2 linked regions of the Caenorhabditis elegans genome follow. The protein of the gene in region 1 purifies or fractionates together with the protein of each later gene. This does not show direct contact. Each region holds a gene or a part of one and is shown on either strand. Other genes may lie near its edges. The genes, in order: W02D3.12 and Y94H6A.2.

Region 1 (3,136 bases):
CCGAGTTTGGTTCCCGTTTGAAAAAAAATGTATAAGTAATTTAAATCAACAAAAAACAACTTAATAATTAGCTAGAACGAGCAAAATCAGCTAGTAATTTGAGAACAAATAATCTCCCGAAGCTGTGACTTGGTGAAGTTAGCAAATTTGAGATTGTAGCTAAAATTAAATTGTTCAATTTTTAATTTGTTTTTTGAGCAGTCTCTTTATGTAATTCGGCCATTTTGCGTGTGTATAATCGAAAATCTAGAACCTTTATGAAATTTTAACATAAATCAAAGAACCCAAACACCAAAAAATCACAACGTTGAACCTTCTTGGCTAGACTATAGACAATTGTCATCATTTTTACCGCATGTCCCCTTGTTATTTCGTTTTCTTTGGCCACTTGTCACCCCGGTTACACTGGGAAAACCAGGCGGCGTATTTAGTTTGATTCGTTTTACTGCGCAAATATGGTAAGTTAAGTTTTCATCATTTTTCAAATCGATAATTTTTCAACAAAAAAAATTGGTTTAATTTTGTTCGCATTGATAGTTTAATTTCAGACTCACAAACGGACAAATTCCAATTATCGGCTGTGGAGGAGTGTTCAGTGGAGCAGATGCATATGAAAAGATTAGGTAAGTGAACTTCCCAGTTCGAGGTCGAGTGGGGAAATTATCAAAAACCATTCCTATCTTGCTAAAATGACCAAATATTATTATAAAACTTTTCAAAAAAAATTTGAAACATTTTTTGTTTCGTTTCAAAAAGCAGTGAAAAATCGGTTTTCCCCTATTTTTCTTTGGAAATCGACGATCAAAAAAATGTTATTCTCCAGTTTTATGTTCTAATTATGTAAAATATGCATATTTCAACATTTTAAAGGTTTAAACATGATACAGTGATATAGATTTTTCGAAAAGTAAAAACACAGTTTTCAACGCCTTTTGACTCAAAATAAAAATTGAATTATAATATTTGACCATTTGAGTACAATATATGGTAAGAATGGTTTTATTGATTTTCCCACAGGCCGTATAGTCCACCGTTATTCAATCAAAGTATTAATTTCAATTTATTTAACTAAATGTAAAATTTCAGAGCCGGTGCTAGTCTGGTCCAACTCTATTCCGCGTTCGTCTATGAAGGATTTCCGGTAATCGGAAAAATCAAACGAGAACTTGTCGAACTTTTACGGAAAGATGGATTTTCGCATGTTTCGGAAGCAATTGGAGCTGATCACAGAGAAAAAACGAAATAATTATATTCCCAAGATTTTTGTTATTTTTTCAGGTTGACTTCATTTTCATGGGTGTTTCAAAATTGTTTTATAATTGAATTATTTTCTTCCGATGTTCAATGTGCCTTTTCATGAGATTGTAGGGTAATTCTTAGTATTTTCTGCATAAATTATTTGATTTCCTTATGTTTTTTTTTTCAATTTATACTAAAGTTTCTGGTTTTCAACCGAAATATATCACTTTTGAATAATTTTCAACGACTTAGAGACCATTTTTTGTTTCAGGGTTCATCAATTATGTCGGAGCTACGTGTCATTTCTCTCGATGAGGTCTCAAAGCACAACTGGGAAGATGCTGATCAATCGTGTTGGATTGTCATCTCCGGAAAGGTAATTTTTTTTTCATTTTTTAAATTTAAATATCGAAATCATTCCTTACAGGTCTACGATGTGACAAAGTTCTTGAATGAGCATCCAGGAGGTGAAGAAGTCATCACTCAATTAGCCGGTAAAGATGCTACAGTTGGATTCCTCGATGTTGGGCACTCAAAAGATGCTATTGAAATGGCCAATGAATATCTCATTGGTCAATTGCCAGAATCAGACGTTCCAAAAGTCGAGACAGCGGCTGCGAAACCTTCGAAAAACGAAAAATCATCATCTCTCCTCAATGATTTCACCGAAATTATGACTTCACCAACATGGACCAACTTCCTGATTCCAACTACAATGGGACTTGTCATTTATGCCGTGTACAAGTGCATGTTCAATTAAATTACCTTAGCTCTTATCCTATTCTTTTGATCTTATGCGCCCACTTTCTTGAAATGCATCAAAGAACATTTGTTTCTATGGACTTTTATATATGTGATAAAGATTTGTTGTCAATATTTTCATATGTTACTGAAGGAAAAATGGGTGGAGCCTTGGAGATATCGATGTAACTTTAGTCGCAAGATTAGTCCTATTGAAACAATTAAAAAAAATATTCAGATCAAATGCTTCGTCAGATTCTTCGTCCAATTTTGAGTATGGATTTTACACAAAAAACAATTTTCTAATTTCTTGACGATTCAGATTCTTCCCGCCGATTCGCAGATATAAAACCAAAACAAAGTGCGAAGGAGAAGGTGATGGCTGAGAAGACACCGAAAGGAGCACTTGATAAAGCAGACGAACAACAATATGAAGATCCTCACCTCAAGAAACATCCGGGAGGTGTGAATAAGTCAACTGGAGAAGTTGGTGGACCAGCTGGACCAGAGCCAACTCGATATGGTGATTGGGAGAGGAAGGGAAGAGTTTCAGATTTTTGAAATGTTTTATTAATTGCTGTTAAAGTCAAGTCAGATCATCATTGTTTTGTAGTGCAAATAAATAAATGTTTTAAACATAGAGTGACATTAATCGTAATAGGGTACACAAATACGAAAATTTGACAAACGAAATTAGAAGAGATGAGAGAGATGAAACGATTATCGTACAGAATAGGGGTTTTGAGTATCATGATCATAAATTCACTGCGGAAAAAAATTAATATTCAACTGCATAGAGAGTTGCCTTCTTCTCCCCTGATCCAGTGACAATGAGTGAGTCGTCGAATGAGATGTCACATGAGAGAACGGAGCTGTTCTCTTTTAGTTGAAAGAGTGATGCTCCGTATGGAGTACGCCAGGCGTTGAGAGCATTGTCCTGAAAAATTGAGATTATGAGGTTTCAATTAGAAAAATTGAGCCAATTACCGTATTTCTTCTATTAATATGGCTGCAATACTATTTTTCGATGGTCTTCCCGCTTGCAAGACTAATAGGGAGTGCAAGAATATTAGGGAGTGCAATACTAATTTTCAGAATATTTTTCTGACTTTGAGCTTACTAGTTTTTTTCTGAAAAAGCTCGAATCTTATGTAAA
Region 2 (4,747 bases), on another chromosome or scaffold:
AAAATTTTCTGTATCGACACTGGCGCCTAGAAAAAACCTTTGAATATTTCATGAATTCAACTTTGCGAAAATTACTCAGTTTTTTTTGTCTTCACAAGGTGTAACGACCCACAAAATCATCCGAGCTTAATCTTCTATTAAAATTCTTGAAAGTCAGATCAAAACGTTCCCCGAAAAATACTAAAATGAGTTTTCCTGCATACTGCTGCCGCCGCTCACATCTATCTTTCTGGCGACTGTGTCATTCAAGGCTTCTATGTCATTCAAACTACTGCCACAGTCATACCATGACAGAACTTTTTTGGATTTTTGTTTTCAAAGAATCTCTAGACCAAGAGCATTCTTTGAACTATAAAAACTTGTAAGATACTTGATGGGTTCCTCGAAAAAAAAAAAGTAAAAATCCCGCAGAATGCCGACTTGCGTGCCATCAAGAACGTGATCTCAAAAGTTCGGAAAGCCTGCAGCGATGCGGTTAGGGAAATTTTAAAAATTTTAAACGTTAATCTGGTCAGTATTTCATGGAGATCAAAATTTATACAAATTGATGTAATAACTCTCGCCACACGTGAAGTTACAGAGCTGCAAACGTGTTACCATACTTATGGCGCAGAAGAAAAATCAATCAACAATAACTTTATTTAGGATACACCTGCAAATATCCAAAACGATTTACGATCATAGTTTTTTCCCAAAAAAGTCTTTTCGAAAAATCCCTCAATCAAGGCGCCGGGTCTTTTTGAATACTCATTTAAGTACCAGTTCACCGGTCCGAAAAAGATAGTAGTGTTGCGCCGAATGATCAACACAAGTCCACATTCATCGCCGAACCGTTCGCAAAGCTTTTCCGCATAATCTCCTGGAGATTCTTCGAAGGATGCTCGATGCAACACCTCCACAGTCGTAGTAAGTACAGTGTACCGCATTTTCTATATTAGTCGCCACTACCATACTTTTATAATGTGTTTAACTGAAGACAATTAATGTTAATGTTAATGCAATATGAACTAATACGGAAAATACGGTATTTATTTAAAGAAAACACCATTAATTAATTTAAATCAATATTCAGCATTCATGACCTTCGTGAGTACGTGCGTGGTCTTCGCGAAACGTTCGGCGCCGAATGTGGCTTTGTGGGGATTATTCGAAAACATAGAAACATTCGCAAACGTTGGGTAAACTGTGACCCAGACGATTATCCCAGAGGACCCGGTGACTGTATTGAGAGATGTTTCAAGGGCAATGGTTCTGACTTTTTTTTTGGTAGTGGCGACTTTTTTCAGTACTGGTACGGTCAAAAGTTTGAGATAATTGCTGGTGTTCGATGAATATTTGTAGTTTTTATTCAAAACCGTTCCATTGTAATAAAAACTACGACATTTTATCTTTTTGCGATTTCTTTTTTTTTAAATAAATATTTTATCTAATACCTTCAAGGAAAACTAATGTATCTTTTACATGTTTTTTGTGAATAAATCTTTTCTTTCTTTTAAAATCTTTTAAAAAAATCAGAATTTATAGTTTAGTTCTTTAGTTCGGAACTCACTTACTATGCCAAAAATCGTGTTCCCTAAATGAGTCACTTGGTACTATTGACATATTTGAGTATTTTCAACACATAATTTTCTTTGACATTTTTGCCCTTTCCGAATTTTTATGAGGAAGACGCTAGCATTCCTGATAAAGAAAATGTCAGTATTCCTCATACTTAGTTCCACAAGAAAAATGGCATGCGTGTAATGTGTAGCACTAGAGTATAAAACAAGAACAGAGAAAAGAAAGATAAGACATCATTGCTTTTCTATTTGGAGACAGTTATATATTTCAAGATGGCTGGTAAGATTCTATTTTTAAAATAATATGAAATTGAATCGAATTCTCAATTTTCCAGCTGTAAACTACACGACGGGATTTATTTCGGTGGTCACTGGCTGCCTAGGAGTACATGGGGCTTATGCGTCCGCCGCAGTGGTTCCGCATTTAACTGCGATTTGTGCATGCGGTGCTATAGTTAGTGCATATGTTACGATGGCTGCATACAAAGATGACAAATCAACGGAGCTGATACTCAGCGAGCTCAAAACGCTCGACAAGAAGATTGGGGAACTGTCACATAAGATGGACGCGTTGTTCGGTGATCTTAAGTCATTTATAACAACGTCTCACTTTTACATGGTATGTTCGGAATAGATATTGGTTCAAAGTGTGGTTACGAAGCCTTCTGCGCAGGAAAAAAGTTAATCACGACCCTTTTTAACCTTCACCCTTTACCCTTACTCAAAATTTTGCAGAATGAGGTCGCTACAATCAAAACGTTGATGAAATACATGCAGGATACGATGAACAATCCTTGTAAATACACAAAAGAGCTATTTCGTGGCGCTGTGACGGATAATAAACCTTTGTGGATTGCAGAGGTAGGACTTATTAAGGAATCACAAGATTTCAATGTTAGACAGCTTCAAATTTCCAGCAAATGATTATAAAACTCGACCAGGAGGAAACGAATCCTCTCAAAATGGCAATGAACTGTGATCCTCTTCGACCAACGGAAACTTTTGAAAAATGGAGAAAAATAATCGACGGAGTGCTTGCCCAATGTGTAGGTACTCACTACATCCCTCACTAAATAAAGTGTATCATATTCAGCTGATTTTGGAGACGTACCAGAATGGAATGTTTTGCGATAAGAACATGATTGGACCGAGTCGTTTAAAGAAGCAAACCGAAGAATTACAACTGAAAATGAATAGATGGGCTGAAGAATACCGTCAAGATCACTCGTACTGGGACGATGGAGTCTTAAGTTTAATCCATAATGTGCAAGACAATAATGAGGGAAGTGAAAATATACGAAATATTTTGACTAAAGAATTGGGCAAGATCATGACAAAGTGAGTATTTTTGTAAATTGACAAGGGACATAAAAGGGTAATTGTGTATTATAACTTTACTTTTTTCAAATTAAATTATGACCGGGGTAGCAATTATTTTATCTGTTAAGTTATTTAAAACGTGAATAGTATTTCCATTATTAGGCTTACAAAGGAAGTATTCCAATTTAACCCCGGTCAATTTAGGCACTTTGAACTGGAAAGAAGTCGCTCTGAAAAATTTTCAATGCATTTTTCACGATTTTCGCAGCCCGTAAAATTCCTCCAAATGTTGATTTTTGCAGATTTCTGATGATTTCTAGGCTTTTGAGGGCCAACCAATTTTTTTCTGGAATTTTTTTAATTTGTGAAAAAATATAAAAGATTTTGGTCCCGAAAGACCAAAAAAGCCAAAAAATCTGCGTTTTCCGAAAATTTATTCAAAAAAAGACAGCCCTGCTGTGAACGTCAGTAATTTTTCTCACATCCACTTACAAATGTAACCATTTTTTGCACACCATATCGCAAACAGTCAGATTTCAAATTGATTTTCCAAAATATTTCAGCCACAAATTTTACGTGATCGTCTACGATTTCTGTGACGGTTCATCTGAGGAGTACCAATTCACTTCATACAGCTATTTCAAACGCAATTTTAAATCTTCTTTCAATCGAAACGGGTGCAATGCTTTTGTTTTACGAAGCCTCAGAACCCAAGATTGCAAAAGGCACGAGGAGAACCTTCAAAGAAAGCTGCAAGCTGCCCTTCCAATGGAATACGAGTTTGTATTTTGCGGCTTAATGGCATAACATTTGATCCAAACATTTTTTCAGCTACAGATTCAAATTGATTGATTATGCGGAAAAGCTTTGCAAACGGTTCGGCGATGAATGTGGACTTGTGTTGATCATTCGGCGCAACACTACTATCTTTTTCGGACCGGTGAACTGGTACTTAAATGAGTATTCAAAAAGACCCGGCGCCTTGATTGAGGGATTTTTCGAAAAGACTTTTTTGGGAAAAAACTATGATCGTAAATCGTTTTGGATATTTGCAGGTGTATCCTAAATAAAGTTATTGTTGATTGATTTTTCTTCTGCGCCATAAGTATGGTAACACGTTTGCAGCTCTGTAACTTCACGTGTGGCGAGAGTTATTACATCAATTTGTATAAATTTTGATCTCCATGAAATACTGACCAGATTAACGTTTAAAATTTTTAAAATTTCCCTAACCGCATCGCTGCAGGCTTTCCGAACTTTTGAGATCACGTTCTTGATGGCACGCAAGTCGGCATTCTGCGGGATTTTTACTTTTTTTTTTTCGAGGAACCCATCAAGTATCTTACAAGTTTTTATAGTTCAAAGAATGCTCTTGGTCTAGAGATTCTTTGAAAACAAAAATCCAAAAAAGTTCTGTCATGGTATGACTGTGGCAGTAGTTTGAATGACATAGAAGCCTTGAATGACACAGTCGCCAGAAAGATAGATGTGAGCGGCGGCAGCAGTATGCAGGAAAACTCATTTTAGTATTTTTCGGGGAACGTTTTGATCTGACTTTCAAGAATTTTAATAGAAGATTAAGCTCGGATGATTTTGTGGGTCGTTACACCTTGTGAAGACAAAAAAAACTGAGTAATTTTCGCAAAGTTGAATTCATGAAATATTCAAAGGTTTTTTCTAGGCGCCAGTGTCGATACAGAAAATTTTCAAATACTACAAAAACAATTAAAAACGCTTCTTCACTTCTTTAACTTTGAATTTAACATAAAAATCATAGATCTGAAAATTATTGGCGTGCGTGGGATGTGCGTTTGTGTGGGAAGTGCCGCGTGCCAAAACTTTTTTTTTGTTTTGCCGAAAGGGTTCGT

What was found.
Region 2: the proteins of W02D3.12 (region 1) and Y94H6A.2 fractionate together in Caenorhabditis elegans (co-fractionation; one large-scale study listed by BioGRID). This does not show direct contact.

What each region holds. Positions count from the first base shown.
Region 1 is NC_003279.8:6,739,766-6,742,901, forward strand, and holds W02D3.12 (Succinate dehydrogenase assembly factor 4, mitochondrial), read left to right. Parts: upstream 1-2,218; 5' UTR 2,219-2,223; coding exon 2,224-2,254; intron 2,255-2,302; coding exon 2,303-2,541; 3' UTR 2,542-2,615; downstream 2,616-3,136. Other genes in the region: dhod-1 (Dihydroorotate dehydrogenase (quinone), mitochondrial), read left to right, coding at 549-623, 1,087-1,246; cytb-5.2 (Cytochrome b5 heme-binding domain-containing protein), read left to right, coding at 1,523-1,615, 1,667-1,999; Transcription factor unc-37, read right to left, coding at 2,759-2,917.
Region 2 is NC_003282.8:2,728,460-2,733,206, forward strand, and holds Y94H6A.2 (DUF4781 domain-containing protein), read left to right. Parts: upstream 1-1,832; coding exon 1,833-1,839; intron 1,840-1,894; coding exon 1,895-2,178; intron 2,179-2,294; coding exon 2,295-2,420; intron 2,421-2,476; coding exon 2,477-2,605; intron 2,606-2,652; coding exon 2,653-2,897; intron 2,898-3,442; coding exon 3,443-3,658; intron 3,659-3,710; coding exon 3,711-3,945; 3' UTR 3,946-3,963; downstream 3,964-4,747.